Linked DNA regions of Drosophila melanogaster. The protein of the gene in region 1 interacts with the protein of each later gene in a pairwise test. Each region holds a gene or a part of one and is shown on either strand. Other genes may lie near its edges. The genes, in order: wupA and TpnC47D.

Region 1 (17,167 bases):
TCGACACATAAAGCTACAGCTACGGCGGGCAACTATCAAAATCAAAATGCTGCAAGAAGAAGTTATTTTTCTTTTCACTAAATGGGGGTTCTTCTACGCATGCAAAGGGAAACGGGAAACAGGAAACATGGGTTGCAGACATATAGAGCATACTCTACCATGGGCACAACCACTAAGTCGTAATGCTAAGTACTATGAGCTAAGACTAGGGCGTGCTGGCGTGCGTGGGTGAGTGAGTGCGAGTAAGCGAGCGAGCGAGCGAGCGAGCCAAGTTCTCTGCGGTCTAAACTGCCTAGTGGGAGCGAGACGAGGATTTGGTGGTTGCGGTTCGGTTCGATTGGTTGGTTTGGTTTGGTTCAATAGATTGGCGCATTAATCGCGCCTCTTGTTGATTGAACAGCATAACATCCAAATGTCGATTGCTTTTGCTTTAATGCTTTATTTGTAGTTTTATAGAGAGTATTGTTCGTTTATACATATATACACTAGACAGAGACAGATAGTCAGCGTGATCAAGTGATTGAGACAGATCGATAGATAGATAGCTAGATAGCCGGAGTGAGTGAGACGGAACGAGCGACGTTGGCCTAGCTGCAACTACAATGGAAATGGAACGGAAGTTGAGATTGAGATTGAAACTGAAACCCAATAGGGCGACTGGGCTGAGGTACTGCTTAACGGTATTTGTATATATTGTTATCGTAATCGTTATCGGAACACTAATTACAGCCTCCTCTGCTTGCTCCCTTCGATTTTTTGTTTTGTGTTGGTCTTTCTGCTTTGCTTTGCTTTGCTTTCTTGTTTCTCTTTCTTTCGATTTGTTTGTTCGGCTGCGCACGCAGTTTCATTTGGCATTTTGGCGGGTACGTGTAACGGTAAACGGTATCAGTAATCGGTAATCGGTATATCACGTTTAGTGGACTAGCATTAAGTGATTCAATCGAGAAGTAATCGACGCTTGGCTTTTATGCTTTTCAACTTGGAACTCAGCTTTGCTTTTGGCTTATCTTTTTTGCGGCTTTTCGCGGAAAGGATAGTATAGAAACACAGAGAAAAGTGACAGAGAGAGACAGAGATAGAAACAGAGAGAGAGATAGAAAAACAGAGAGAGAGATAGAGAGAGAGAGAGACAGAGTGTGAGCAGCGATGGGATCAATTTACACAAACATTATTTACAATGAAGTGCGGTGGCTTGGTGGGCGGTGGGCAGTACGGGGCGTGGCTGATCGGGATAGGTGTTTCGTGGCTGCTGCTTGTCGGTCGTTTCGGTGTTTTATTTTCCTGTTTTTTTTTCATGTGTTGCTGCATGCAAAATGTTGCGTGCTTGCGTGCGTTGCGTTTCGTGTGAGCGTGACTGTACTTTTCCTTCTTTTGTTCTTAAATTGTGATCGTGTACTTTTGTGCTAGTGTGCTTGTATAACTATGTGCTGGTAAATTTTTAGGTTGTAATTGTGTTTGTGGACCGGACGCACAGACTGTGGTTCAGTTGAGTAATGGCGTAACGCGTCGACAGCGGCACAAACAAATTTGTTGGTTACAGTTAAGAAAAAAAGAGAAATAACACACACACAAAACAAAGTTCACAAATGGTGCAACAAACTAGTTATATTGCTGTTGTTGTAACTATTGTGCAATTCACTAATACTACATTACTGTTGCTTGTTTCTTGTTGTTGTTCGATTTGTTTGTGATTCTGGTTGTCTGGGGTGTAGTGTGACTGATGAGCATACTTGGATTGCCAGTTAAATTGATATTTTTGCAAAGAGGAAGTGAGGAGGTGCCATGTGACATGTTTGTTCGTGTGCTCGATAGCGGACTTAACCTCACTATGTGTGTTTTCGGACATAACCTCACTGGTCACGACATCTGGTCACACTTCAAGTTGAATAGACTTTTCGATATATTCGATATCGATTGACTGGTCAGGCAATCCTCGCGTTCTCAGCGGATACGTGTTTCCGTCTGAAGTTTTTGAGTTAAACGTAAGTAACAACGGCATTAGGAACTCGAAATTGAAATTAAACAGGGAGTAGTACGAATAAATAGTCACGATTGTGCGCCCCCACCGAGACCCAAATATATGCTTCTGTATATATATATGGGTAGGGGGGCACGAGGTGGTTGTTGTTTTGTGAAACAGTCAAGTAAAACAGATACAAACTAAGAGACATATTTTTGAGATGCGCATTCAACAAGTAAGAAAGAAACAACGGAACTGAACGGAACGGAAACGAACATGATACTAGAACTCAAATGAATACTTTAGATAATCAAATAAGATTTTAGTTTTGATACAATTTTGTTGCATTCTGTCTTGGGTGAGTTGGTCTTATTAATATTTTTGGTTTTTTTTTTTTTTTGATTGGTTGTTCTTTTGTATTCAGAGTTTTGACATTTATTGATTGATTGAGAACGATTGGAAAATTTAAATTGAAATTGTTGCAGTACCTCCCAGTCTTTTTTCCTGACTTCGTATTCCAGATCCCATTTCTGGCCTTCACAAATATACATACGCTCGTAATACTCTTCGCAAATCTCTTGCAATTCGCCTGCAAAAATATTTGATTTTTCGGGATTTGGTTTTGGTTTGACTTAAACTTTTAATCGGCGTTCGTCGTTTGGTAATGTTCTAAATCTACGTATGACTAATAGTATTTATGATTGAATTTACTGTTTATAGATTTTTCTTTTGGTTTATCGCAATAATTGTTATCGATATCTTATCGTTTGTTATTTCGCAGCTTCATTAGATGTTATGTGTTCGATGAGTTTTTATTCTTCGATTTTTGACTTGGGTTTCTCCTACTGTTTCTGTTACGAAATGGTACGGAACAAATCAGATCGGAATGAAATGGAACGGAAACGGAAACGATCGTTACGGTTTACATTATTGGCCTATTGGGTACGCGTGATTTTCATGAGCAACTCGATAAACTGAGACTTATTATTTAGGTTTTGACAATTAATGAAAGACGTTCCTTATTATTTTCTCCTACAAGCTTCCACTCCGGCGAACCGAAGACCTGGCTTGGGGGTTACGGCGGGGGAAGACGGTTCCCGGATCCGGACGGATAGACTATATACACGGCGGCCCGGGAACTATTTCCCCCCAAAACCAGACTGTTTGAAGCACGCGCCGATGCGAGAAAATCTCTCTGATTTCGTTTTTTCGTTTTTTTCTGTAGTTTAGCGCAGTTAAAACAATATCAAAATTAGGTAAACGAACAGAAGTATCGCAGTAAAAAACTAAAAATATGATTAGGAAATATTTAGAAATGAAATCAAATAATTAAATCAAGGGCATAATCGTAAAGTAGAGTTATGATTAATAATCGATTTATATATATGTAAATATCTTATGTATTTTATTTGGCTTGATAAGAAAGAAAAAAACATTCGATTTTGGTTTCTTTTTTTTTGAATTCGTTTTTTTTTTTTTTGTGGGTGCATGGCAAAACTTTGTAAATCTTTGGGGAATTTACCTCTTGGGCCTTGACTTTCTGCACGTGTTCTAAATCAAACTTATCGCCCTCCAAACTGTATACGCGTTGCCAATATTGTTTGCATATTGTTTGCAGTTCGGCTGCGGTAAACGGTAACGGTAGCGGTAACAGTAGCGGTTACGAAACGGTAAACGGTTGACGTTTAACGAGAGAGTTCGTTTTGTATTTGTGTTGTATGTATATTTGAGTGTGTTGGTATTGGTGTTTGTTTGTATGTGTGCGTGGGAGTTACGGATCAAAGAAGAGAGATAGATATAGAGTGAGAGAACAGGTATAGACAGAAAAGTGAAGAGAAAAAGAGTAAGATAGTAGGAAGAAGATTAGGTGTGGCGTGAAATTGGAGAGAGTGACAGATATAGTCGAAGAAACAGAGTTAGATAGGGTCAGAAGGAGATAGAGATAGAATGAGACAAAGAGACGTATAGAGACAACGAGAACGACGCATTGTTTGTTTCGATTTTAGTTTGGTTGTTTGTTTGTTTGATTGTTCGAGTGATTGGTTGGCGCGTTTTCGAGAAAAAGAAGGATTAGATTAAGATTTGATTAATATAAAGTTATTGATTGAACTCGATCTTTATCACCTACAAATGTTCTAAGTGTAAGACAGTGTTGTGCTTTCGTTTCTTGGTGCAACATGAAGTGTCTGTAAGAGTATCAGTGTCTTGTTTGTTGTTCCTTCGTGCGTGACTGTACTTCTGGGATGACTGTCTGCCTAAGCTCTGGTCACACTAGAGTAAAGTGCATTGCCCTAACATAACCGTTTCGCTTTTTCTTAATATTTTCTTTCATTTTGGTGGGTTAGTAAAAGCCTTATCAAAAATACAAAAACATCACATGTGTTTCCGCTACAATAAAAAGCCAAAAACCAACTTGTAGCCACAAAAAGCTTATAGCTAAAGCCGTAAAAAGCAAAAAACCCACAAATAAGGTGACATCAAAAATAGGGTTTGTCAGCACTTGTTGCACTCGGCTTAGGTTATTAGTACGTAAAGGCAGCGTAGTTATTCTCGATCCCCCCAATTTGGGTCCGATCTTGAAGCTCTTATATTACGGATTAGCTGCGTTGACTAGGGCTCTACTTTCTATATGGTATATACGATTTTCGGGTGCCAAAAACACTTCGATATTTTTTGTGGGGGCCTCGTTTGCACAGCTCTCTCCCAAAATGAAAACTAGATTCAAAAAGTACATGGTGTTAACTACGGTTTCTACGAAGTGCTTAGTTTTATATTCTTTTGTCCGCCGGACAAACACACACACTAATGTATATAGAGCTCCGAAATATTTGCATATATCTTTGGGCTAGTTGTGCTGCTGCCTCGGCTAGTGAAGTAGTTCTACATATTTAGATAGTTATCAACATGTTCTACGATCTGCGAGAGATTGAAACTATTGGAAACCGGAGCTGCTTGCCTCATAATCCTTTCTGGCTACATCGTACTCGAAATCGTACTTTTCGGACTCCAGTTTCAGTATCTTACTGTGGTAGTCCTTACAAACACTCTGAATAGTATCTGCGGAACGAAGTGTGGTTATCAAAACGGTTCGAACTGTATCTGGATATTTGGAGGTGTTGTTTGACTGTGCGTGTGTGTGTGTGTGTGAGTGCGCTGGTATTTCTTGGTGTGGGAGTGGGTGAGTGTGTTTTTGTGAGACTAATCTACTCGAGAAATGGCACCTACACTTCCATTCTTAAACAGAACACATCCTCACTGGAGTGACATATAGAAAGAGACCTGCATTAATCGGGTGAGTATACGGAGATACGGATACGGATACGCATACGGAGCTAATTGAGCCATTGAGTTTCTGTACAGTTTTTAGTGCCTGGGCGAATAACACTTTTCACGAACATATATAGAGTGTATTATACAGTAAACAGATTGAGAGTGAGATAGTGTTTTAGATATATAGAAAGAGACAGCTGACAGAAGGTGTGTTTATATTGTTGTTGTTAAGCGTTAGCTTTTGATTTTGATCGTGGATAGACTTAGGCGTATTTAGGTGGCGTATATAAAATTGGTGGTGTTCGTGTACCTCAACATCCTTGCGTTTAACAACATACTCAAGATCATATTTCTGGTCCTCCAATTTATTAATCCTGTCATAGTGTTGCTTGATCAGAGATTTGAGTGTGTCTGTTCACAATGGGGTTTTTATATTCGGTTTTTCGGAGTGGTTCGGAGTTGGTTGTGGTTGTGGAATGGGGTGTTGGTTGTGTTGGAGAGGGTTGGTGGTGGTGGTGGTGGTGGTGGTGTGTGTGTGTGGATCGATTGGATATTTAACGGGCATGGGTGCGGCAAAAGAGAGATAGAGATAGAGACACATTTAGATACATGTTGCACACAGTGGTTCAGGCATAATAAGACTATGGTTCCTCTGCGACGTCAATGTGATCCGATGTGGGAGGTCGGTTATCCTGTGTGTGTTTGGTGTGTGTTTTTGGTGTCTTCGTGTTGGTGTGTTATGTAATTGTATGTATGTATGCGATAGATGACACTTGTTCAACTTTCAGTTATCGATTTTGGTTTATGCTTCGCGACAGGCGGGCTTAAACATATTGAATGCATAAGCCGCCTATCTGTTTTACTGATTGATTTCGTTTATTTCGATTATATGGTTTTTCATCCTTTATACTTTCGAACCGTGACCAGGTGCAGGGAAACCTCTAGGGATTTCCACTCGCCTGATCAGGGATCTTAATCATTCGGTTCGAGGACCGAGGCTACTCACCTTCGCTGGCATCGCTGAGATTCCTGGGACTGCCGCAACGTTCTTCGATGATGCGTCTACGTTCAGCCGCTTTGCGTTCCTGTTCTTTCTTCAGCTCCTCAGCGGCTTTCTTACGCAGCAGCAACTGCAAGTGGAGGGCTTTGATTAGCTGGCGATCATACAAAGCGTTGGTATATGCTGGAAACTTACCCTGAGTTTCTTCTTCCTCTCTGGGGTCATGAAACCCTTCTTGGCCTTCTTGGCCTTGGAGGCTTCCTCCATGCGCTTGCGCACCTCAGCACGCTTGCGCTCGATCTCAGCCTGTTTAGCCTTCTTAGCCTGCAAATTAAATGAACGAACAATCCGGGTATCAGCATGGTTTGCTCACATCCAAAACTGGACACAACACTAGATATGATATTCGAACACAGCACTGCACAGCACGAGACTTGGACTTTGACATGGACGTTAAGTTGAACGGGCACACACGTACACAAGTGTACCTCCTCGGCCTTCACTTTGGGGTCGTTGGGATCCTTGGGCGGACCGGCGGGAGCGGCGGCAGCTGCCGGAGCAGCCTTTCCATTGGCCGCCGGAGCAGCCTTGCCATTGGCCGCCGGGGCTGCTGCCGGAGCCGCCGGTTTGGCCGCCGCCGCTGGAGCTGCGGCCGGAGCTGCTGCCTTTTTCTGAAATCAAGTTAAATGATTGCTGGTTAGTTGCAGTTCTAGGAATCGAAAAAGTACGCCAGGCTAGGAGAAAATTGCTTAAACTTCAAAGGAACTATTAACATTTCTCAATCATCCACAATTATTTAAAGTAATCAAATAGGTTTTAAACTCATTTAAATTATATAAGAATGGTCAGCCAAGTTTTATTGGTTGTAATATTTCATTGATTTTAAACTACTTTAAATAGATCTCAAATTTCTCCAGGCACAAACGCGACGATAACAAAAAAAGGGACAAAGCAAGGCACAGAGACATAGACACACACTAACGATAACAGACATGGCTTTCAGTCAGACTTGACAGTTATCATTATCTGTGCTCCTTGATCGAAAGGAAGAAATGGCTGGGATTCAGAGGGTTGCAAAGCGCAGCGATCCTGTGAAAGCAAGAGAAAGGCAAAGAAAGGCTTGGGTTGCATGTTGCGTGGTTGCAAGTGGGGGGCTGTTGAAGCTTCTGGATTGTTCGGGAGCTTTGCTTACCTAAATCCACATCCAGTCAGGTTTAATCCCGTCCAAATCACTTCCAATTTCCAAAACAGTGCTTGCGATTAATGCCCCAAAATAGTTAACTGAAGAAGAGGGTCAAAGGTTAATCAACCGTTTCTCAAAGGCGGTAGAAAGGGGGCCGTTGGAGATACTCACCTCACCTCATCATCAGCCATTTTGATTTGTGTTTTTGGTTACTGAAAGTAAGAGAAATCGAGAGGTGAACTCAAGGAACTGGAACTGGAGGCAAATGGTGAATGGTGAATGGTGAATGGAAATGTTCGATGACATCATTTCCATTGCCCTATATATACACGGCTATATGTAGGTATATACATATAAGTATGTGTTTATATATATATATATATATGTTCCATAAATCAGTCGCTCTCTCTCCCATTCGCACACGCCTACGATCTCACCGGGGTACCACAGTGCGTATGCGCCATATTGCTGGCATATGCCGCATATTACGTATACGCAGCATTGGTTCACGCCGTATATGGGAGGACAACCCCAGCAAACGCTCATTTTCCCGCTCTCTTCGCTTAGCCTTTCTTTCGCACATTTACTTTGGCGTGGGCGTCTAGCTGCCAGAAAAAGACAACTGTATTGCTTTGTGGCTTTTCTAGTTGCTCTCTTTGATATCCGATTTCAAGTGAGCAAAGAGAGAATAGCATTTCCCAACTGACCGATCTCAGCCAGCTGATTTTGTTAATGGAAACTTTCCTACGATATGTTTTCGTTTTAATCAAGCTAAAAGTTAAATCGTTAGTATAGAAGTAACTTTTACATATGCATACTTGATCAGATGATTGATCGTTGTAATGGCATTTTAAAAATACATTTTATGCTGAATAACATATTGGGAATCTTTAAGTAAACATTATGAGATTTCATCATACGAAAAACCATGTCTACATCTTGAGGAATTAATCAGAATTTATTTGCTAGCCTATCCGTATAGTATGTATATGTATACATTTTTACTGAAATGAAGTCGAAGAATTAACACCTCACAAAGTACATATATAACTTTAAAAAGTCTACTAGCGTTGAAAGTAATCGTTAAACAAATTATCTATGCTGTTAGCAATGAACTAAAATAATGTACAATGAGTCAAAAGGAGATCCGTTATAGATTTTATATCCTTTGGAAGAAGTTGTATATTTTGGGGTTTTCACACCTACAAAGCCATATGGCTTAGTAGAACGAATTGCTAGGGAGCTAGGCGTATATTTAGCCCCAGCAATTTGCGCACCTTAGCGAAGGTAAGGCGTGAAAATTTTCTGACAATGACGACCTTCGGCTATGTACACTGCGAGAAATGCACAACGAATTTAAGCATAGTCGATGTCTCCACTCGGCATACATCTGAGAATGAGAGCGAGTGGGATGGCATCTACTGTATCTAGTATCTGACTGATTTAAAAATAAACCTGTTGATAGATACACGAATCTCGGATGCGAGAAATATGGCAGCTATTTATGATTTGCCGTACAATTTGTTTATATGTTCACGGAAAAAAAATAGTCAAATTGGAGCAACGATATTCGTATCGAATATGAAATCCAAAAGTTCGGAGAGCATTTATCCAGTTATTTTACGTAGGCGACGTGTGCGTGTTGTTTCTCTGTGTGTGAGTGTATGATTTTCTGTGTGTGCGTGTGTGTGTGTGATTTTTCTCTCTCTCGGGATCTCTTGTTCTCGCTGTGGTCTATTTTCAGGCACTTTTCGAGCGATTTTAGCTTTTTTGAAATGTATCTTGTATCTGCGGGATACATTTTTAGCTTTCGGCACGCACACACACGCATACACGCACACACACACGGCAACTTCTTACGTAATTGGCAAGCCAATCCGTGAAAAAAAATTCATTGCAAAATCAAGTCAAAATAATGTTGAAAAGTATTTCGATGCAGTTTTAGACACTTGTTAACTTGTATCACTTGAAAAAAAATAGCAAAAAAATTGTTTGAAAAAAAATGTTTGAATCCTCTGGGCACACGCACACGATTTTGGTCAGGTCCAGACATACATATAAATATAAATATATATATATATATGTATAGCATATGAGAAAGGACTGAGGATTTCACATTTGTTTTTCTTTGCATTAGCATTAGCATTTGCATTTTGCATTTTGCAGTTTTCTGTTTTTCCATTCCGCTTGTTCTTGCATTGTTGCTCGTTGTCAATGTTGATGGTGATGTTTTTCTTGGCTTTTTGAATGTTGCTCCGCTTCAAGCACTCACCTTCAAGGAATTAGAAAAAAAAGAAAAAAAATTCGGCTATGCTGTCGATCACACGAATCGGATGATACTGAACGACACAAAAAGACTGAACGGTCCGACGATCCACGGCAGACTATATTCTAGCGGCTAGCCACCCAACGGATACAGATACGGATCGTTGTTGATCGGATCGCATCGTATCGCATCGTCTCGTTCGGCTCGGTTCCGTTATGTTCCGAAAGCCAAACGTTAGCCGCCCACCTGCCCACCGTCCTTCACGAACGGGCGAGAGCGAGAGAGAGCGAGAGTGGCTCGGGGGCCGGGGTTATGTATCTGGGCGTGAGATCCAAAAATAGATCCCACCAAAACTGACATGGCAGAGCACAGCCCATAAGCAAAATCGAAATGGATACCGAAAAGTGTTCGGCTCACGATCGTCGCAGCCGAGTGGCATGCCGAATCGATTCCGAATCCGAATCCGATTGCGATTGCGATTGCGATTGCGATCCCGATCCCGTAACTCCCGCCCCGTCGGAACTGCAGACCCGTAAACCACCCTATGAAAAATACCGCTTGGAGAATCTTTGTATCTCTGTATCCGCATCGGTGTTCACAATATCGTATCTGCAGTTCGATGTGTGTGCTGGTGTAAACGGAGCCGCTTGGAATTCAATGCAATGGATAAAAATAGGTTTTGTTGCTCCAGTTGGGAGGCTATGCGATGGCGGTGCAATCGGTGTGCAATGAAAAAATCAGGGCCGGCGACTGGCTGCAATCTCTGGTTTCGCCAGCCCTGGTTAAAAAACTATAAAATATTATGCTAATTCTGGAAAATCCAGGGAATAAGCTTGTGCTGGGATATGCATATATTGAATATATATTCATTTTCAATGTAATCTACTTCAACAGCAAATACTAATGAAACTAAACATTATCTTAAAATAGGTGCATGCAGCGTTATTTTAAAGATTAGATTTATAACTCCTATCGAACATTTATCCTCATAAACATAACTAATATTTCGATGAGTTGACTGAATACAAATTACTGTTTTCTTTAGAAGACTGCAGTTTTTAAGAAAAATAGGTTAATAACCCTTACATACATATATTGCTGAAAATATATTAGATAAAATTGGGGAATCCCATAGATTCTTAACTTATTTAATTTGAAGATTATTACTATTTAATCCATCCAATATCATTTCCAGGTCTTAAAGTAATTATTCCGTTTGTGTTCATTTAAAAGGTTTTTCTTAGACCGTGCCACTTTGGACTTGATCTAGAAAAACCATTTTAACGATCTGTTTCATGTTGTTCGGCTATTTATCTTGCATGTTGGCCGCTGACATAACTTTAAGCTTTCGAATAATGTGTTCCAAGCGAATCGTACGAACATATAGCCTATATCCGTCTTGTTAATATCAATGTTTTAGCTGAATTACTTTGGCATCGTCAGTCTAAATATAATGTATATACGCAATATGGCCAAATACACACATACACATATATATATATATATATATATGTATATATATATAAATTTCTATATATAATGGTAAACGGTGCGAATGACGCTGCAACACACCTACTGAAAATCACGCATACGCCCCGTAGACGAAACGCCTTGCAACTTTGGTTGAAAGTAATTTTCGAATTTCGCCAAGAACGAAAGACGAATAAAACGTTTCGATCACGAAACCATGTCTATATATATATATATATATCGTATATGAATTTAGATATACATAGACTGTCTATACGTATGTTCCGATTCTATAAACTTTCAGCAGGGAGAGCAACAACAAAATATTGTTGAAAATAATGTTGCTTTTCCCTGCTCATCTCGTTGTTCTTGGCATTTTGTGTTTCTGTTTGTGTTGCTTGTTTTTGATTTTGCCACGGCTTGTTCTAGCTCTATTTCGAAATGTATTTTCGATGATTTCTATTTTGTTTTTCCCCATTTAAATTTAGAATATGGCTTCCAGGGGGGAAATCGAAAAAACGGCGACTGCGGAAGGGCAGTGGGTTAGCTTGGGGCAAAATGTTTTCGTTATTCGTAGGGAACTTGATCAGTTCGTCTATGTCTGGACGAATCTATTTTCGCCTTCATTCTCGTTCCGAGCGTTTTTAAACAATTCCGCTGCGCGCCCAAGCAATTTTTGCCTTAATTTATGAATTTCGAAAATGTTTTTCGTTTGAAAAAACACTTTTAATATTGTGCCTTATTTTTGGGCCTTTGGCAAACAGGAAATATTGAATCGGACGGGGGTGGGCTATAATGCCGACCAGTATTACTAGAAAAGCGGTAATGTCTTACAGCGTCGAAAATGTGTATACATTGGCAATAAGTAAACTTTAATAAAGCAATGTTGCAACATGGGCGGAATATTTGCACGAATCGAGGCCTTAAAGGTGGGCAGTGTGGTGTGCCCAGTGAATCGAGCTTAATTCGGGGTTAAAGGCGAACCATCGATGGTCAGCTGGCTGCGAGTGCGTCAAAGCAAAACAAACGTCATAAGCGCCCACCCCCGCCCCCCCCCTCTGAGCCGCCCACTGTGGGCGTGGCCTTGCAACGTTCGCTCTACCTGACAACTATTTGTCGCTGCTGTCGTCGTCGTCGTCGTCGTCGTCGTTGTCGTCTGCCCGCCGAACTCCCCCTCCATAACCAGAACCAACACCACTCCCCAGCTGTCGCTGACCCATTTAGGGTTATATACACACAAACAGGCACTCGCATCCTTATCCTCCCTGCACCGTATATAAATATATATATGTATATATATAATATGTATATGTATTTATATATGCTGCATGCACTCGCATTATGTATGTACATAGGTGCTGGGTGCACTCATGGTAGCCGTCAGAATTCGCTTACTCCGGCTGGTCCTGCGAAATATTTAAATAACCCTGCCCAAGTTCGCCTTAGAGTTGGCAAAGTTATCGCAAATTTAATTAAATCAACTAAACGGATTACAGTTTCAAATGCACTTTTGGTGCACGTATTGGTTGCACATCTCCAAGGATTAACTGCGTTTGTCGGTTACAGTAACTAATTTTGTTGCATCAAAGGGCGGCTGAAAAGCACGAAACTTGTGCTGTGGCGTAAGTATAATCAATTATTCAGAATGAAACTTTTGCAAGCTAGTATTATGATAAGAAAGTGGGGGAAATAATGCGATTAGCATGGATAATAGGATTAATAAGTAGCTTTATTACAGAGGCATTTATTTGGCATGAAGTTAAATGTCTTTATATTGTAGATTGAAAAATGCTTTTATCTAAACAAATACCTAGTTAAATGCTGCGTACGTTATTATTTATAATTTATTTATAATTTCTATAGCTACACTACTGCTAACAGTTGGGCCATTTCTATTTGGCTTCTTTAAAACTAGCTCAATATTTTCCGTTGTTGTTTTCATGGAGTAGTTCGTATCTCGGATAATCGCCTATTTTTAGGGACTTGTGTTTATACCCTTGTACTTTTTCTATGGCTTTCCACATTTTCCACATTGATGACGTGCAACCGCACGCACACAGGCGCAGTCGTTCACACCGATAGCATGCGTGTGCAGCTTGTAGTGTATTTGCACTAGTTTCGCCGCCAGTGACGTCATAGTTTCCACGCAGACGTCATCAGGAGGCAGCGAGGTCAGTCCATGCAACATGCAACATGGTGCAGGAACAGGAATATGATGCGGATTCCATGTGCACGCGTTCGTGGAAGGCAAAATGGCGCCTAATTGATTGATGGTCCAGTAAGCTGAGGTCAATCAAGGGGCCCCAATTTCCACGACCATTCCACACAGACTTTTGAAAATATTCTCGCCGAACAGCATATCAAATGTGTGGTTTAAAATGATATGGAAAATTACCAAAAAGATACTCATATTGCATCGATTTATTTCTGTAAGGCCTTGAATGCACACATGTATCTTAAATATATCTGAAAATTATCACAAAATATCCCTTTCATATCCTTGTTGCTTTTTAGGAATACATAGTAACTGCGAATTCAATGCCTAATTAGAAGACTTATCAAGTCAAAATGTGTGTTCCTCATGAAAGGAATGCCAGTTGAGCTAATGCTATTCATTTAAATTCGAGAACGATTAAGCATTTTGTTCCGAGTGCTTTTGTAAGCCGTCGGACGTCATTGGTCTTCATTAGCCAAGTCACCTCCGCCGCCCAGCTTCTCCACATCCACATCTGCATCCACATTCACATTCACATTCACATCCACATCCACGACGAAGGACATCCAAAGAAGATGGAGAGCCGAGGGGTCTGCACAATTTTCCACATTTTCATCGAGGAGCAAAAGGGGGTGGTTGCATGGCTGTCTCTTCCATTCACTGCTGACGTTTGCCACTCCGTTCCTGCCTTGAAATGCTGCAGTTTTGTGAATGAAAGTCGCCAGCGTCATCAATGGGACGCCCATTCCGATTGTGGGTGGGCGTGGCGCTATGGCAACAGCAATGCACAAATGCAAAAGCCAGATAAATGTCAACCGAGTTAAGCTGTCGGGCTGACTGGTTGTCTGACTGACTGGCCATGTGGATGTATGCCCAATGTCCTGAACCCATGTCCTGGCCCATGGAAATGTGCTCCCTTTGTCCCGTTCGCCACTCGCTCAATTGGTTCCGATTCGGAGCACCTTATCTGGCTGGACTTGATGACTTAAGCGACACCATTGGATACACACAACGAGAAGACTCTCGAGCGGATGGCGAGTCTCGTGAGGAATGTGATGGGAATGGGGGCAATGAAATTTGGATTTGAATGCACTGGCAGTTGCAATTCAATTGATCCAGACGGACTCTGCACATTGCTCCATTGTATTTCCGGCATGGTTAAACCAAAATAGAACTGAGTACAAGGGGGTGTATACAAGTGTGTTATATAGAGAAGTGCATCATATTTTCGGCTTAACTTTCAGATAAAACAATAAACACTTGCCAATTAAGCTTTAACTACAATCTTATAGGTGTAGTCATCTACTTTCTTATACCAGTAGATTTCATATACATCCTATAGTTGTATAGACTCATCCTAAGTCTGTAGATATAGCTCTTCAAATGGATCAGGAAACCCTCTATTATGGCCAGACACTTGCATGAACAGCAATCGACGCATTCCTAGAAGAGAATCGCCCACAGATTAACTCTCTATATACGACTGTATATATATATATATATATATATATAGTAGCATATAGTCCGATCGTGTTTTGGCATTAGAGCGAAATCCATGCATGCACATCACATAACGCCGAATAATCGGGCGCAGCTATATGGGATGCTTTGGTATACAGAATACGGAATGGGGTCTATATAGCCGACCATACATTGTGTATATGTGGCATAATAAAAATACGCTTCTCTACGCTTTTGTTCTTTCTATTTTCTTCGGCCGTCTCATTCTCGTTGTTGGCAGCGACAACTAGCCCGTTTGTCTAAAGATATAGCCACCTCCTGGCCAAATTTCCACCTACTCTATTTTACGTAGCAGCTCCCTGCTCTACACACCTGGCTATTTGGCATCTGGAATTCGCCTGGGAGTCGTCATTGTCCAACTTGCTAAACTGTTTGAATTTGCCAGCGAGAATCGCAAGTGAAAGTTTTGATTTTCTGGCTCCGCACTAGCTGACCCCGATTTATTTTTAGAAGTGCACTAAAAATAAATGCGAAGGTCGCTACGTAATTGGCTGGGATTCGCTGGCGTCGGATGTTGATTTTCATAGGGGGTGCAGGGGAAGGGAGCAGGAAGCGGACTCCAACTTGAACGCACTGCACAAACTGCATAAGGTCAAAGTGTCAACTGCAACAGCAGCAGCGGCAGCGGCAGCAGGCGCCGAATAAAAATCCGAATCGGTTGCGAATCGGGTTCGGATCGGATCGGATCGGAACGGGCTGGGATGGGCCTCCGGGCTCCATTCATCTGCGGGGCCAATGGGCAATGTCAAACAGGTGTGCAGACGGCGTCGACGTCATTGCCGGAACACCAGCCAACATCCCCATCGGTCTCCAACACCAACATCATCTTCCCTCCATTTCCATCCGATTCCCATCTCGAACTTCTGGCACAGCCGTGTTCCAATTGATAAGCAAGTGCTGCACTCCAGGTGCTTGTTACATACATATATCACATAGGAAACATAGCTAGCATCCCTATATCACGAAAATCCGTGCACAAACTTTCTTAAAAGCTAGGAGAAAGGTACAAACATCGGATGACCAAAGGTCATTAATACGAATATGAATATTACGGAATTTTTCATATATGTACATATGTATATGTGTGAAACTACATAGATAAAATGAATTTTCTTTCAAAATTGAAGTGTATAAACTCGGTGTTGATCTAGAAAGTACATGAAAATGCCAATGATTTTAAACCCTGACATATGTACATATATAATTAGCATCATACATATAAGATAAACAAATTTTCCAAAATATATGCTGGTAAATTCGTTTGCTTTCCTATATATATTTAGAAAAACTAATTTGACCCATAACTTTAGAGCATACTTTAAGGCAAAGCGCAAAAAAATACTTATCGAATTTAAAAAGGAATAAAAACAATATATAAATATTACACAAATGTACATATGTATTAATGATATTAAATATTTTATTATTACAATCGAATTTATATTTGTAACCTTTTTTTTTTGTTTTGTAAATCACAAAGTGCATATATTCGTGCGAACTTCAAAGTCTTCGGCAGTCTGCCTTTCGTTTCGAAGAATTTCTTTCATGCCTCGTCCTTTCTTGTGGCTTTTTCAAAAGTTGCCTCCTTTGATTGTCTATAGACAGAGGCTTAGGCGGGCTCTTCTAAGGGGTACAGGACTCACCGACTTTCTGCCGTCTGGTGCCTCAACCGGCCACGCCCCCCGCTGTCGCTACATCCCTCTCTCTTTCCACCAAACCGCCCCGTCCCTCTTCCGCTTGCTCTGTAATGTCTGCTAACACAGTGACCTAGTGCCGAATGCCAAATGCCGAAATATACGAGTCGAGTCGCGATGATAAAAAAAATGAAGGAAAAAGGAAAATACCGAGGAGCACGAAGGCTTGGGGCCCAGTGACGTCACGGCTGGCATTCATTCACAGGATGTGAGGCATGCATCCAATGGCGGCCGCGCTGCTGTGCTGCAAATTGAGATTTTCATTGAGAAAAGCAAGTATTGGATATCCATCCAGTATCCAGTGTTCAGCAGCCAGCGAGCAGGCAGCATCCTTCGCACAGGACGACCCAGCCCAGCCCCAAATAAGAGAGACCCCGAACGCGACCCCAGACATAATCTGCAAAGGACACTGTTTGCGACATCAGAGATGGCGATGTGATGCTGGTTCTGCCGCTGCCGCAGTCGCTGCCTCTGCCGCCGCCTCAGCCGACGTTGGGCGCCACAAATTTGAGCCTGGTCATGGGTTTACATTCGCAGTGCCAGCATCTGGGAAAATCAGTCGGAAACTCGTCTCCAAGCCAAACAGTC
Region 2 (16,075 bases), on another chromosome or scaffold:
TTGAGGTCAGTAGAAAGTAGCGGCTCGTTGTGTCTCAGAATTTTTGGGGTTTGTTGAACCTCAGATTTGCAATTCAAATGGCGATTAAGAAGTGTGGAGAGCAGGTAAACTGTCATGTTTACACAATGCAGATAGCATCATAGGCACATGCGAATGGCGTGGGCTCTGCTCGAAAGGTGCAGCAGCTAATAAAATTTGTCACAATTGCCGGCACTGCGGCAATTTGTGGCAAGCGAAAGGTGCAGAAATGGTAACGAACGACTGCTCCACCTGACTTGACTTCTACATGCAAATTCCAGCCAGCAAACTTTGATACAGTGGGTGGGCACCTCTGGGCCTTTGAGAAGCGGCTAACATTTATGGCAAACGGCATGCTGGCAACGGCAAGACAAAAAGAATTCAATAATAATTTCCAGCAATTTCGCAACTGGGCTGCGGCAGCAGCAGCACCACATTGCGGCAGAAGTTGCATTTTGGCATTTGCCTTGGCCCGCCCAGTTCCAATTTCCAGTTCCACTTGCCAAAACGGCCAGGCTCTCGGGCAACGTGTTAATAAATTGATTCTTGGTGGCTCCCCAGTCGGTGAGTTGGTTTAAATCCCGCGGAATCAGGTATGACTGCCAGCATGCACATGGAGAAATAATTGGGGAAACAAAAAGTCTAAAAAGGATTACAACAGATTTTATTTCCATTTTAAAATAAATTCAACAACTTTTTCTACATATATTTTTCTCTTGTACAGTTAGGTGCGCTTCGTCACTACGCGCCATTCACTGTTATGGAAAACCGAAAAATAATTAGATTTTCATGAATTTGTACGTGACACAATGACTGTAAATCTTATTAGCTTATTTTTATAAGAATTTAAGGGCCGAAAGGACCCTACTCTATTTTTTTCGAGTGTCTCTTTGCAAAGCGGCATTTGACGCGCCTGCCACAGAAGTGGAAACTTATTAATGAAGCAGCCGCAATGCCGACGAGGTCATAATTCAGAGCTGCGACACTCTAACCTTTAGCCAAGATCTGCCAGCCGGAACCTGAAGATCCGCAGTCGCAATTTTGTTGCAGTCGCACTACGCACTGCCACAAAGTGAATCAATTAGCTCCGCTGGCGGCCATAATTTCTAACTAATGCAATTCGCAATTGCAAAATGTCAGGCCCACTCAACAAAGTATGAAACATCTAAACCATCTCGAAGCGGTGCAACTTTCTGGCTGCCATCTATTAATAACCGTCGCCTTTGCTGTCCGACTTTCAGTTGGATTTGGATTTGGATTTGGGGCTAAGGCCTATGGCTCATAGACATGGCTCAGTCGCAGTTGGAGTCGTGGGAGGAGTGTCCGACCTGTCTTTAATGCGGTTTGCTCATCGGCCAACAACCACATTGTGTTGGCTTGTACTATGCGCTTGTTGTGTCTCGCATTTCTGCATTTTTACGAAGCTCCCCGCATCGCCTCGTTTTCCCGCATTTTGAAGCTTTGTTTTATGGCTATTTATACCCCAAGTTTGCGAATTATTCAAATGGCAAATCAATCAGGCAGCGATTGGCCAATATGGGCCAAAAAACATTTTATAATTAATATTGAACACATTCAATTTGATCTGCTTATTGGGTCAAAACATTTTCGAACCCTAAATCAAAGTTATTTTTAGACATATGGAAGCTGCCAAAACCTATCATTACCTTAAATAAAAAACAAGAGATGTGTAATAACCAAACTAGCAGAAAATCAAATTACATAAAAAATTCCCACGGCCGTTGATTTCACGTCGCATATATGGGCTTTAAAACAACAACACATCGGAAATGTATTGTAAAATCGATTTTTTTATATACATTATACATTGCAAATCATAAGAAATTAAAAAGTTTAAATGAACAATACCCTTTTAATTAATAATAACAAAAGGAAGATGACAAGCAGCAAAAAGTAGTTCATCGAACTGAATAACTCTCATCTTTTATATCTAAGCAATTTAGATATAATTTATAAGTAAAAATATCAATTAATTTTAAAATTAACCTGTTTGGCATGTGCTAAAATTTCCCAGCGAAGCGTATGAAAATGTCGTGAAGGGCGAAAGTGGAACCTATTTGGATTTCGAATATTTATGTAGCATATTTCGCGGCTCCGTTATTTATATTTCTTGGGTCAAAATATCTCTTCTACTTTTAGGCAGATTCTCACATTACCTAGGCACCTAAAGTTTAGTTTATTGCCACCATATCTTTATCGTTTCATAAAAAAAACGCAAATTTTTTAATTTTTTGACAGGAACCGAAATTTAGCTTTAGATTTAAATAGAAGCATAAGCTCCCAATTGAGTGGTGACCCATAACCCATAAAACGCGAGTGTTGACCTTTGTTTCGTAATGAAAAACCTCCACAGAATTAGCATATGCAATTATAGATGAAGCTGAACATGGAACAAGACATGTTCGCCTTTTAATGGCAGCTCATACTGATGACAAACGAAAATGTATCTGTCAGATACTTGGCAGTTATAAATGAGTGATGGCGACCACATCACACCTAGACATGAGCAATCCCCGTCCCATCGAGATTGATGATTAACCCCACTGGAGCGTGGAACAATGGAACACTTCGGGCACGAAAAGCTCTCAAGCTATCCTGGGGATAAGCAGTATCGCATTTGATTAGTATGCCATTTGACAAATGATGTTTGTAGGCCAAGTTGAGGTCCGATTTCCACCTTGACCAAGGGAAAATGAAGGGGCTATCCAACATACAACATAGACCACCAGCCACTGTCAGCACATAACTCAAGCAAACACCTTTGAGGCAGATGCGAAGACAAGTGCTGGAGCAAAAAGACCCAGAATTTGCATATGGGGCTGGCTCATAAACAAGTGCGCGGAAGACGACCGGTGGGCCACCATGAAGATATCAATCAGCCCAGGCCAAAGCCGAAGCCAAACGAAATTCGTTTGTCCTTCTGTCAATGGCCGATAAAAAACCAATAAAGCTGCCAGCCCAGCGGCTTGTTAACACGCAGATAAATTACACTGGCCGCCCGCGAGATTACCATCGAGATGCAGTCAGAAGCCGATAGCCAGGGCACAGGAAGCCGCCGATTGTTCTGACCATAACTGAGCTGAGCTTTAGGGCCTGACGAACCGCCGGGCCCGACGATCGAGAACCGCATAAATACGGCCGCCGGTGGGAGCCGCAATTGCAGTCGTGGCACGGCTTTCGATCAGTGACTTCCAGTGGCAGCAACGGATTTGCTTCGGTACGCGATTGAATCTCCAGCATCAGCAGTGTTTCCCAGCTCCATAAGTGAATCGTCGGGTTTATCGAGCGTGTAATTTGTGCTCCGTTCGCGAGATTTATGATCCACGGCACCTGCCCACTGACAGCCTAAATGTCTGTAGCCCGTACCCCTCGATTCCGGCACCTCCGCTGGGTGGCCTGTCTGCTGGCCAGCCTCTGGTTTTCCGTCAGCCAGGCTCAGTTGCCAGGAACCGGATTCCAGGGACAGCGTCCGCAGGTGCCTCCACTGCAGCCGCTGCAACAGCAGGCCAATCCCTTTCAGCGACGCCAGCCGAATCCCGTACAGGGTCAAGGACTGTTTCCTGGTCAAAGGAATCCACTGAACCCACTGGCACCTCCACTAACTGGAGCTGCTCTACAGAATCCCTATACCCGCTACAACCAGTACCAGCAGCAAAACTATGTGCCCATCACTGCCTACCAAAACGAACTCAATCTGGATGGAAGCTTCTCCTACGGATACTCGTCGGCCGATGGAACCACTGCCCAGGCACAGGGATACGTGAAGAACTTGGGGTATGGTGAGGGAGTTGAGGCACAGGTGGGTTTACTATTCAGATTGATTAGCAAACTTTTCAGTGATATTCTTCTAAATGATCCTATAGCATTAATTGATGGAAAATGGTGTTAAGACTTATTTGTTGATATTTACATCAGCCTTTTTTTAAGTAAATTTTTCTGTTATTTTTTAGTAGAACAAGTTTTTTAAGCTTCACATATCTATGCATAAATTCAAGTAAATTATTTTCAAAAAACCAACGATCATATTATTCAAATTGGGACATAATGCGTTGCAATCTTTTCGGCGTTGAGCTAACTATAACTAAAAAATTCGTATCATGCTTTTGGGTGCTATTTGTCAACAACTTTATTTGCCATTGAACAGGTGATTCAGGGATCCTACTCGTACACCTCACCGGAGGGCACACCCATCACAGTGCGCTACATCGCCGATGAGAACGGATTTCGAGCGGAGGGCACGGGGATTCCATCTAGCCCTCAATATTTCGCAGGTGCCCAGCCCTATCAACAGGGCTTGCTCAATCCCAATTTGAATCCATACCAGACGCCCTTCCGCCAGCTGCCACCCCCACTGCCCAACGCCCCCTTTCGTCCCCAGCTTCCAGGACAACAGCCGCTCACTCCACTGCAGCAACAGCAGCAGCAACAGCAACAACAGTTGCAACAGCAACGCGGTTTCCAGCAGCAGCAGCAGCCAAACTCCGGGCAATATCAACCGGAACAGCCGTTCAATCAGTTGCATTCCGGCAACTTACCCGGTCAGTATGCCGGACAATTTGGCCAGCAATCGTTTGGCAGCAATCTTACTGCACAACAGGCACAACAGCAGCAGAATCTCAACCAGCAACAGCAGCAGCAGCAGCAACAACAGCAGCAGCAGCAACAGCAGCAGAAGGAGCAGCAAAACGAGCAGCAGCAACAGGCCCTAATCACCCAACAACTGAGGGGCAGACCGAACAACCTGGTGGATCCATATGGCTATAATCAGTACGGCAGACGCTTCAAGAAGTCCCCAAAGAAATAACGACAAATTAATGTCATTTAAATGATTGATTAGTTTGAAGATGTAGTCGCAACTCAAAGGCATGAAATACATGCATCTGAAAAGTCAAGCAGTTTGTTTCAATTTCCGCAGCTTACGCGGCGCAAAATGATAAGCAAATATTTTATAATAATCATTTATTTCGATAGTTGCACACACACATTGTCAGAGTGGAAGAGGGAGGTAAGCTTATATAAATAAATTAATTGTTTTAGCGAAAGAACATTGAGGGCAGCCTGCACGGAAATGACGTTTCTTCGATTTGAGAGATTTGATTGGCGTTTTGGAATAAATTCTGATTTTAGTAGCTATAGCCCGTCTGAGGATTGAACTCTCCGTTTCCACGACCTCCGCCCGGCGCTCCCGGAGCAGGTGGAATGTACTGTGATCCTGTGCCGGGAACTCCTCCCGATCCTGGTCTGCCTGGCGAGCCGGGTGCTCCGCCACCAGCCGCTGGTGGAACATACTGATTGCCGGGCAATCCTGGTCCGCCTGGACGTCCACCGGCGCCTCCTAGATAAAAAATGGAAACAATCGCGATTAGAGTGGCATTAAATTTATGTAAACCCTCTTTGATTAGTTGTAATTATTTAAAGCAGTCTTTAAAATTATTATAATCTAGCGACTTCAAAGAGACCGCGTGCAAGCCGAAATGTTTTATGCATGAAAGATCGTTAGTCGATCGTGGGTAAAACAATAGACCAAGGCTTTGCCAAACAAGAATTGTCAAAATAAAAAAACTGAAATGTGTGGGAATAGCACTTGTCTAGTGTAGCTCTTCACATCATTTTCTCATGAAGATGAATGAGGCTAATTCAAGTTTTACAATTGCAATCACACAGATTGTAAAACCGGGTTTATAACTATAATGCTTCTTACCCGGTCCACCGGCACCTCCTCCATAACCTGGACCGCCTGGAGATCCTACATTAAAAAATGTAAATACCATCTATATGTTGTGACAAATTGGGAGAGTGACCTCTTCATCACAAAAACCAATGTTACTCACCGGGTCCACCGGGTGCTCCTCCAGCTCCACCGCGACCACCGCCGGCGCCAAAGCCACCACCACCTCCTAAAAAATAAATATTACTTTAATTATTATAATATTTATAACACAGTTTAACAAGTAGTCGGAAACTTGAAGAATTTCGTAAGTTTTGTGGAATGCACAGTGTACTGTTACTAAGTTACTAACCTTGGCCTCCGAATCCTCCTCCTCCGGGAGAGCCTGCGAAACACGAATGGTATGTTTTTAAAGCCACTAGGCAGATATTAAAATCGACTTACCAGGAGCTCCAGGAGCACCACCACGACCGGCGCCGCCTCCGTATCCGCCACCCCCACCTACAAGATGAAGATGTTTTACTTAAGACCTGCAACTGGAATATTGTTTTGCTAACTAACCTTGACCGCCAAATCCTCCTCCACCAGGCGATCCTATTAATTAATAATTCCTTATTTTCAGTAACAAACAATTTATGTTTTGTACTCACCTGGAGCTCCTGGGGCACCTCCACGACCACCACCTCCTCCGAATCCGCCACCACCTCCTACAAGATGAATGTATTATTCGAGGTGAATGTGCAGTAAGTTTTAAAATCCCTTACCTTGACCTCCGAATCCGCCACCACCTGGGGATCCTGGTGCTCCTGGCGCACCTGGTGCTCCACCACCACCGCGACCGCCGCCGCCTCCATAGCCGCCGCCAGCACCTCCCTGGCCACCATATCCGCCTCCGCCTGGTGATCCTGAAAATAAGCAATGTGTTATCTATTATATAAAGTGAATGAAATCATGAACTCACCGGGAGCGCCAGGAGCACCGCCGCGTCCGCCGCCACCTCCGAATCCTCCGCCTCCACCTGGAAAGTGTATATAGTTTTAACTTGAACCGCAAAGTCAGGCGGGATCACTTACCTTGACCTCCGAAACCTCCACCGCCAGGTGATCCTTTAGTTGAAGTAAGTTATTAGTTTTGAGTATCTATGGAGTAACACTTTTCGTTAACTTACCGGGAGCTCCTGGTGCTCCGCCACCGCCGCGTCCTCCGCCGCCGCCACCACCATAACCGCCGCCAGCACCTCCTTGACCACCAAATCCGCCGCCGCCAGGTGATCCTGAAATATATGAAAATAAATATAAATTCATGAAGTGAATTAAGACGGATTTTCTTTAGGAACAATAAATTTCATCTAGAAAAAGGACTTACCAGGACCTCCTGGGGAACCACCACGACCAGCTCCGCCACCAGCTCCTCCATAGCCTCCTCCACCTCCTAAAAAATAAATAGTATTTTAGATCCATGTGTAAGCCGTTGGAACATAACTTACCTTGACCTCCGAATCCGCCTCCACCTGGCGCACCTAAAGAAGCAAACGAATCGATAAAGTATTAAATTAATCTAATAGGGGTTAACATTTTTAAAAATTGTATAAATAAATCAGTCGTTACCTGGACCTCCTGGTGCTCCTCCACGACCACTGCCGCCTCCTAAAAATAATCAAAGTTAAAGTCAAAAAAGACTAAAAAAAGAAAAAGGGTCAAAATGTGACTTGAATTCGTATCTTACCTGATCCATATCCACCGCCACCTCCTGCTCCACCTCCGCCTCCACCGGATCCTCCTCCTGCGCCGCCGCCTCCAAATCCGGATCCGCCTCCATATCCCGAACCACCGCCTCCGCCGCCACCTGCTCCTGCAATCAAAAGTGAGCAATGAAATGGAATGTTAATCCATTGATTTATTTTGTAGAAACTTACCCTGTCCTCCAGGACCGCCACTGTATCCACCACCCGGCAGTATGGAGATGCCCTGGGCAGCCAGAGATTTGGCTATCGCTTCCGGAATGGGCGGTGGAGTGGGCAGGGCGTTGCCCGAGGGCACAAAGCCATTCTCATCCGCCGTGTACATGATCTCGACGAGTTCACCTTCGGGATTTGTGTAGGAGTATGAGCCCATCACGGATGGGATTTCATTCTCAGATCCCTTGTTCTTAACGGTGCCCTCCTCCTGGGCCTTTATACCATTTCCAGTCTCGTAGCTGAAACGGTAGTTGCCATCGCCGTCGTTCTCGTTGACAAATGAGAGGATCGGAATGGGAGGTCCAGAAGTTGGTGGCGCGCCACCTGACGGACTGGGGCGTGGAGCGGGTGCTCCGCCGCCTCCGCCGCCGCCGCCAGGTGCAATGGGTCTTCCGTTTGCGAAGCCACCAAGTCCGTTATTACCACCACCAAAGCCACCAGCACCGCCACCGCCTGGTCCTCCACCGAAGCCGCCAGCTGGTCCGCCACCGCCGCCTCCTCCATAACCTCCACCCGCTCCGCCGCCACCGAATCCTCCACCTCCGCCGAAGCCACCTCCTGGGCCCTGAAGCCCTGCTCCCGGACTGCCGCCCGCACTGGCCGCACTTGCAGGTGGGGGCAGGTATTTGTTATCCAGCTTGGCTGCTTGGGCAACCACCAGCGTCGTGATCACCAGAGCCTGAAAAAGATCGTTGCAGGTAGGGATTGCCCGGTAAGTTCACAAATTTATGCAAGCACATGGAAAGTTCATGCGAATCCAGCATCTTCCATCGCGATCCACGTTCTCAATTTGGCCTGAAGCGAATCTTTGGCGTGTTGACTTATTTGATTGCAAAATAAATGCCAGTGAAAAATCGCAGGGGTGGCTAATTGTTTAAAATTTAACTTCATTAACTGCGGCTAATTCATAAATCTGAAGATAACATGAAAAAAGGCTGCTAAATGTAATGAAATAGTCATTTAACGACCGCCATAAAAAGTGTTATTCGAATAAACTTTTGTTGCTTGAGCACAAGGACGTATTTAAACTTAAAATAATGTTAAGCGTCTGAAAATTATTATTTTCGAATTATTCGTATTAAGAAATACTTTTAAACGATTTTTAATGTCTTACTAACATTATGTCATTTTTTACAACTGTACTTTACTCATGATAGCATTTTGGTAATTATTTGTAATAAATGTGTATTTTAAGTTAAACAGCAATGGTTCGTTCCAAAAATAAACGATAAGCTTTTTCCAAACTTCAAATTACAAGAAGAACCTTGAATTGTTTCTGCTGTTAATTAAGCCCTGATACACATCTCGGCCAAGTGGGTATCATGACCCCGCCGCTGGGAACCTCCAAAGGGGTCAAGAGTGTGGCCAAATGTCGGCCATTTCATCAATGAAGCATTTGTCCATTGACAGAACGACGCAATCCGATCCGCTCACGTTTTCCATTGTTGCAACCGATCGTCGTCGCCCATTAAGGCTGCAAGTGCAGCGGGGACTCTTGACTATAGTATCAACATCGGGCTGGCTCATCATTGTCTCAGCCTGAGGCGAACTATGATATTTATGGACTTCTTGTTAGACAGAAGACGTCTGAAGATGCAGCAGCGTGTGAACCGAGAGTGCCACAGAGAATTGCTGGCTGGGAAGGTTGGCTAAGCGGAGCGGACCAGCGAGTGTCAAGTTGAAGTTTAAACCGTTTACGAATTCCATTGGGCCATAAACCTAACAGCTCCATCGATTGGCACGATGATGAGCTCACTTGTCGCCACAGCCGGGCAGTGTAATAATGTAATATTGTGGAAATTCTGACATTTGCCACACTGACTCATCCGGCGACTGTGGCACATGCAACCGAAACAAGCAACGCCTGCCCCTTGGGCCGGAATATCTTGAGGAGTCTGTGAGAGCCTCTTGGAGTTCGTGACCACCTAGCAGACATCTTCGACAGCGTTTCGCAACCGCAAATATAATTGCGGTTATTGCAAATGGGCTGCCAATTGGGTCGCCACTGCTTCCATTTCGATGATCTGCTTTGGAGGCGGGGCGGATCGGCCACGACCAAACCATCTTGGGCAACTTTGCGTGCCATCCACCATCTCCGATTGCAAATGGGCTGTTAATTTATGCGTTTCACGGGGATTACTCGATCTTTTCAAGACAATCGGATATGCTAAGTGCAATGGGGAAACCCTTGGCTGTGCTAAAATATCCAAGATGGGACACTCCAGTGGCCTATTGTTTAGGCATGTTCTTTTTCGCGGAATTTTATGAGTTGCCAAGTTGAGATTAAATAATTAACTAAATCAAAGTTTCCTGAAAAGTTATAAACTCTTGATGAATAAGAATATTCCTATGCCAATTTAATACAGATTTCTGATGAGACAATTCCCTAGACTAAAATAATTGAATGTCTTTATTCTAAGGTAAAATTCGTAACTTTACTTTCATTTAAATTAAATTGGGTAATGAAATCAATTTAATTAAATTTGAAGCATTAAGATCTTTGCATTCGAATGTAAAATGTAAAAATGTAATGAATGTAAAAAATCCGAAAAGAATAAAAACGGAAAATATGAATATAAATATGAATATTATATTCAAACATTGAAATATATTTTTGAATCTAGGTCATTATCTCAAGAAGGATACTTTTCGGGAAAAATTAGTAAAGCTCTACAATAATTTCTAACCACAACAGCATATGGAGTTTCAAAGGACTCTTCATTAGAACACTTGGATCTTTTGAATTTTCTAACCCAAAGTTACTTTCCTCTTTCACTGAACTTACCCACTTAAGAGCCATGACAGCAATCTTTTGATTGTTTCGATCGAGGATTAAGAAGAAGAATCCTTGGCGCACCCACAATTTATCCACTGCTTAATTTATCCACAAAGCTGGGTTAATCCACGTAAGTCCTTTGCCGCACCAGCGATGCAGTGCCTCCGCGTGTCGTGTTGTGGCTCCTCGAATGTCACGGTACTTGTGTGCCGATCGCAGCCCAAGTTCTCCAGCTTTTATACTTGGTTTGGCGCCAAATGCAATCAAATGGAATGGAATGAACGAAAACTGCAGCCGGAGCTTGCCGCTTGCAGCTTGGAGCTCGGTGCTGAGCGAGTGCTGAGATTTTGATACTTTATGGCATTTATTGCAATCGTGTGCAGCTGTGGTGGTGATGGTGGTGGTGCTAGCTGAGGCTCCGTCCCCAGCTGGGGCAGAAAACAATCGCACGAAAAAGGGAGGAGGAGGTGGTGGTGCCCCCGCATCCTCATCCGCAAGCCCATGCATTTTGACTATTGTCTCAACGGCGGCATCTCGTTTACTCAATGTACCTTGTCTTGTTAAACAAACGCTCTCAGCCACATCTCTCCTCGGTTAGTGGGTAAAAATTAGCAAGCAAGCAACTGCTGCTGGTGGTGCTCGTAAATTGGAATCCAATCGAAACGCTCAACGCTCGAGCGCATCATCATCATTCAGCTTCATCTCCATTGAATTGCACGTTTGGGAAACCGTTTTAATGCGCTCGGTGTCAAGAATCGCATATTGAGAAGTCTGCCCAGGCGGATGTCAATAAATCTGACACCCAACACAATCCGCCACATTTTCAGCTCTTTCACAGGGCGTCCAGGTCCAGTCTGTGACCTTTCACCTAATGATTGGGTAAAAACTGAAAACTGGATTCGAAGCGGTAATAAATACCACTAATATCGACACCCTCCGGCCGAAAGACTAAGCATTGCGCAAAACAAGTTGCTCCACTTGGTGGCAACATCCAAACCCCAACCCATCCACATCGATCTGCCCCAAGCCCCTTCTCCTTTTTTTTCGCTAACTTTTCAGAAAGGGCAGTTGCTTCTTTTCGCTGAATTTGGGAAAACAAACTCACTGCATGTCGCGGCGGCCAAGTTTAGCGTAAATGCTTGACATCTTTTGGCAACAAGGAGAATGCTCATTGACATTTGCCAGCCTGCATGCATAGCTATGATATACTACATTGGCTGTTTGGAAAGGCAAAAATCTAGCAGGTTGTCAGTGGGCCTTATTCTGCTTGGGATGGTCACAGCTGTGCGGACCAGAACGCCAGTCAAGTGGCAAACGGAATGTGCACGCACTGCCGCAAGTAATAGCGGAAAGATTGAAACAAAGAACTCCGCATGCATCTGGCCACGTTGCGTATGCGCAACATGCATCACTCATACGCCGAATGGCCTTGCCAAATTAACACACAAATGAGCAGAGCGGCCACGCCCACTCCCAGCCCATTGCACAAACATTGAAATTTAATAATAATCCGCACGCCAGAGGGTGGCAATTGGCAATTAAGATGACTCAACTCGGATGCAGATGCACTGCAGCCATAGAATGTTTGCCGCGCTTTGGGTTTTTCTACTCAATCGGTTCCTGAACGAGCGGATTATTTATAGCGTAATTATGATTACTCAATCGTAGAAATAAAATACAAAACGTTTATTCAAGCCTCGGGTGTTGGGGGGTAGACAATTATGAGATACGTTGGGTCCACAATGCTTACTCGCCAGTCATCATCTCCATGAATTCTGGAAATTAAATACAAAATAATATTAATTATTATTATTGTTGATAACTAAAATATGGTTTGTGTACTAATACAAGTGGAAATTGGACCAAAACCTCATAATACAAATTTGTTTCTTTTTAAACTGGTACACCAATCGGAACAATTATAAAAGGCGGAAAATATGGACGGATTTTGTTTTAGGAATAGTGAAATGCCCCTTAGAATCTGGGGCAAAGTGATCTGCTTGTTTCTGTGTAAAGATCTAAAGAACTATAAATAAAGCACCACAAGGGCGTCTCCCCTCGTTGGTGGGATGGTGGTGTTAGTGGGGAGGGGTAGGGGTTCTCCACCGCAACAAATTGATATAATTTGTGTGGAAAATACCATGGCAGCGCGCCAAGGAATCCAAGATCTTTATAGCCCGACTGACGGCGGCTAATTGGTCCGCGCACTTACCATCAAAATCAACGGTGCCAGAGCCGTCGGAATCGATTTCCTCAATCATGATGTCGAGCTCCTGTTCGGTCAGCTGGTCGTCCAGTTCCTTGAGGATCTCCTTCAGGCAGGAGGTGGGAATGTAGCCATTGCCCTGCTTGTCGTACAGACGGAAAGCCTCGCGCAGCTCCTTCTGCATGGCCTCATCATCCTCCTCTACGATGAACTTGGCAGCCAGCTGGACGAACTCCTCGAACTCCAGGCGACCGGATTCTGCAGAAGAATCGAGGATTAGTTTGGGCACCCGGCAATATAGGCTGCGAACACTTACTGTCCTCATCGACCTCGTCGATCAGCTCGTCAAGGATCTGCCTGTCGAAGGGCTGACCCATAAGACGGAGGATATCGGCCACCATTTCGGTGGGGATACTGCCGGTCTTCTGGTGGTCGAAGCTGTTGAATGCCTTCTGCAGAACGGCAATCTGCTCGGGGGTCAGGTCTTCGTCCTGAGAAGAAAGTTCCATGAATTTCCATACATTACTTCGTTTGTAATTCGGTAAAAATCTTTAAATTGATGAGAAACGACATTTCTCTATTCCTTAACACTGCTTTCAAGTGCAAGGTGTTACCCCTAGGGGTTTCTATAATCCAGTGGCACTCACAATGTTATCCATTTTAAATCCTGTGCTAGTTGTTCACCAGATCGATCACCGCTAACGACTGAATCAGTTCCCCACTTCTTCATTGAGCTCTTGAGATCCCCAGAAACCCCAGAAACACCCACACACAACGCCAGGCATTCCAAAAGTAACAAGCTAATTTATGGTTTTCAGCAGCATTTCGAAAATAAAACCAAGCGAAATAAACAAAAGAAGTGAACGCGCACACGAACCTGTGGAAATCTTAAAATGTGTTTCTAATTTTCGTGGAGTGAAAAAAAGGAAAATACGAAAAGCACTGTAAAACCATTGAGCATTGCCGAATTTACTGCGCCTGGCCACCAGAAAGCAGCAGCACCACCAATGCCACCACCACCATCACCACCAAGAGCAGACGATCCGAACCACATCCACCCACTACAATACGATTTTGTAGTGGTTTGCTAAGCTTAACAATGACTATTTTTAGCCGACACTGCGGGAAAATCATTATCAGATTCGATGGCAGCTGGAATTATTGTAAATCATGCTGTTGATAAACCAGTTCCAAATGCGCTATCAACATCTGTTAAAATTAAACACGCTTAATGACGATAAAAAATAGTCTTAAATAACCTTATTTAAATAAACATCTCTTTTTATACTTTTGGGACGTAATACTGGTCTTTGATTTTAGCCACTTAAATAACTACAAACTCAGGCTGAAACTTAAAAACCTACCCTGTTCTACGGCTTTTGAATTTCGGTTTCGCTTTTATTAACAAATTACCATACGAAATGAGTCAGCAAAATTCCAGACAAAGATGTTATAGTATCAGTTCAGCAGTTGAATTTCGCCCAGTGTACGCTTAATTGGTGCTCATTTAAATAAGTATCAGATATTCCCTCATAATTAGATCAAATCTGATCACATTTTCCAGCTGACACGCTTTATGAATCAATCACGACGTGCCCATAAAATCATTTTATAACTCAGCCAAATTAACGAGCAATTAAAAAATCGACATTAATTAAGAGGATGGAATCATTCCACACACAGACACCGACAACTCGCACATGGAAATATCAAACGAGCAATGTGTTAATACATTTTTATAAACGATTCGAATATTGTCTTTTGCGATTCAGCTTCCTATTCCCATACGCGCGCATATATATTCACATTTAAATCAGCCATAATATTAATTATTCGTTTTGTTTAATGCCAGCCATGATATGCAAATTGATTTATAAATTTTAATAAAATAGCAGTTTGTGTGGCACACATTTTCGAAACCAGCCAACGTATTTGTTTATGTGGCTATGGAATATTGGGAAAATCGAGGAAGCCAAATCTTGCTTTCCAATTATGACAGCGCCAGCCAAAGCAGCCGCCAAAAAGTTGACGTCACTCTGACATATTGACCATTTGTTTATGCTCTTATTAATTTATTAGCAAGTAATATATGCGACACACATATCTCAAAATGCCAGGAATTAGTAATGAACAACAGCTGAGCGGGAGAAAGGAATCCTTGGCGCCGCAAAGAATCCGAAAAATCTCATTGAGTGATTACACGGAGGAAATAATATGGGATTCCTTGTATTCATTTAAAGAAAAAATATCTCAGTCTGTTCTATTTTAAGTTACAAACTTATATTATTAAAATATAAGTTAAATACTGCATACAAATTCATTAAACACATGTTATATACCTCTTATAAAAATTTGGTCTATAAACTACATATTTATTCATATGTCAGAGATTTTATTATTTTCCGGCAGTGTTTTCCGATCTGATCCCCGACAGCCTCGGTGGCATATTGACATCGCCCTCTCGCCATCTCAATCCATCATCGTTGAGATGTGTTTTTAACGCTAGCCATCTGTCGGGTTTTCCATGTTGTGCTTCCAGAACGATTAGCCCCAACGACCCAGAATCCGAATCCGAATCAGAATCAGAATGCCGATTTGGCGGCAAATCGGTAACCGGAGCGCGCAGGCTTTTCAATGTTATTTTGACATTTGAGAGCCGACGATGGTTAGCCTTGATCGTTGGCGGATCGGGCACTTCAGTTACCTCGGATACTGCTACTTCTGCCCCTGGTTGCACCACGTAATTTACGATGGCATTCACTTTACCCGTCGACGTCATAATTGCAGTGGCATAATCTGCATCGCACAACTTAAACGGTCGCATCACTTTCAAAGACCAAAAGCCTAACATTTGCATCGCAAATTATGACAACAAAGAGCCTGATTATCCCATCGCGATCACGTGACTAGATAGGGATTGCTAAATGTCTTCAAACAGAAAAAAAATAACTATACCCCTTTTCATTATTTTGATATGATCTGCATAGAATAAAGTCTAATATATGGAATTTCTTATTCTGAAATATGCAATGGGAACTAGTCTACTTCTATTTCAAAACCGCAAAACCAGGTCCGGTGTATATGGATATGGTTTAAAAACCGGTAAAAAACGTGATTACGTAACAGTGATCCTAAAGTAACAGCTCCTAAGTGATCCTAAATCGAAAGTGAAAACTGAACGACCCCGAGTTCAGGGGCAGCATGGCGTTTGGGTACAATGTTCATCTGTCAGACCCATACATATTACGTACTAATATAATTCATCCGTCTGGTAGACCCTGACCAACAAGTTTCTGTCCGCTAATACGATGCGTATATATGTTTGTCTACTCGGTTTAAGAAGCGACAGTCCTTTTGGGAAGAAATTAAAAGTCTAGGAAAGTAAAGTTCAACACATTTATTTAACATTATTTATTGACTTGGGGGGTG

Evidence for each region.
Region 2: the proteins of wupA (region 1) and TpnC47D interact in a two-hybrid assay, tested with the Drosophila melanogaster proteins (2 studies listed by BioGRID).

The regions. Positions count from the first base shown.
Region 1 is NC_004354.4:18,107,022-18,124,188, forward strand, and holds the start of wupA (wings up A), read right to left. Parts: upstream 9,805-17,167; 5' UTR 9,686-9,804; intron 7,714-9,685; exon of another isoform or gene 7,626-7,713; 5' UTR 7,605-7,625; coding exon 7,590-7,604; exon of another isoform or gene 7,585-7,589; intron 7,512-7,584; exon of another isoform or gene 7,423-7,511; intron 6,902-7,422; coding exon 6,719-6,901; exon of another isoform or gene 6,709-6,718; intron 6,555-6,708; coding exon 6,426-6,554; intron 6,361-6,425; coding exon 6,237-6,360; intron 5,642-6,236; coding exon of another isoform or gene 5,541-5,641; intron 5,018-5,540; coding exon of another isoform or gene 4,917-5,017; intron 3,584-4,916; coding exon of another isoform or gene 3,483-3,583; intron 2,550-3,482; coding exon 2,449-2,549; intron 1-2,448. UniProt on the Drosophila melanogaster protein: Troponin I is the ATPase inhibitory subunit of troponin in the thin filament regulatory complex. Involved in the development and maintenance of muscle and nervous system. May also be involved in the cytoskeletal apparatus.
Region 2 is NT_033778.4:11,261,928-11,278,002, forward strand, and holds TpnC47D (troponin C at 47D), read right to left. Parts: upstream 13,360-16,075; 5' UTR 13,306-13,359; coding exon 13,294-13,305; intron 13,138-13,293; coding exon 12,963-13,137; intron 12,905-12,962; coding exon 12,653-12,904; intron 12,216-12,652; coding exon 12,187-12,215; 3' UTR 11,918-12,186; downstream 1-11,917. Other genes in the region: Cpr47Ee (cuticular protein 47Ee), read left to right, coding at 3,389-3,838, 4,184-4,843; Cpr47Ef (cuticular protein 47Ef), read right to left, coding at 5,163-5,374, 5,741-5,785, 5,871-5,936, 6,060-6,092, 6,152-6,208, 6,269-6,301, 6,358-6,414, 6,472-6,612 and 9 more; Cpr47Eg (cuticular protein 47Eg), read right to left, coding at 16,058-16,075.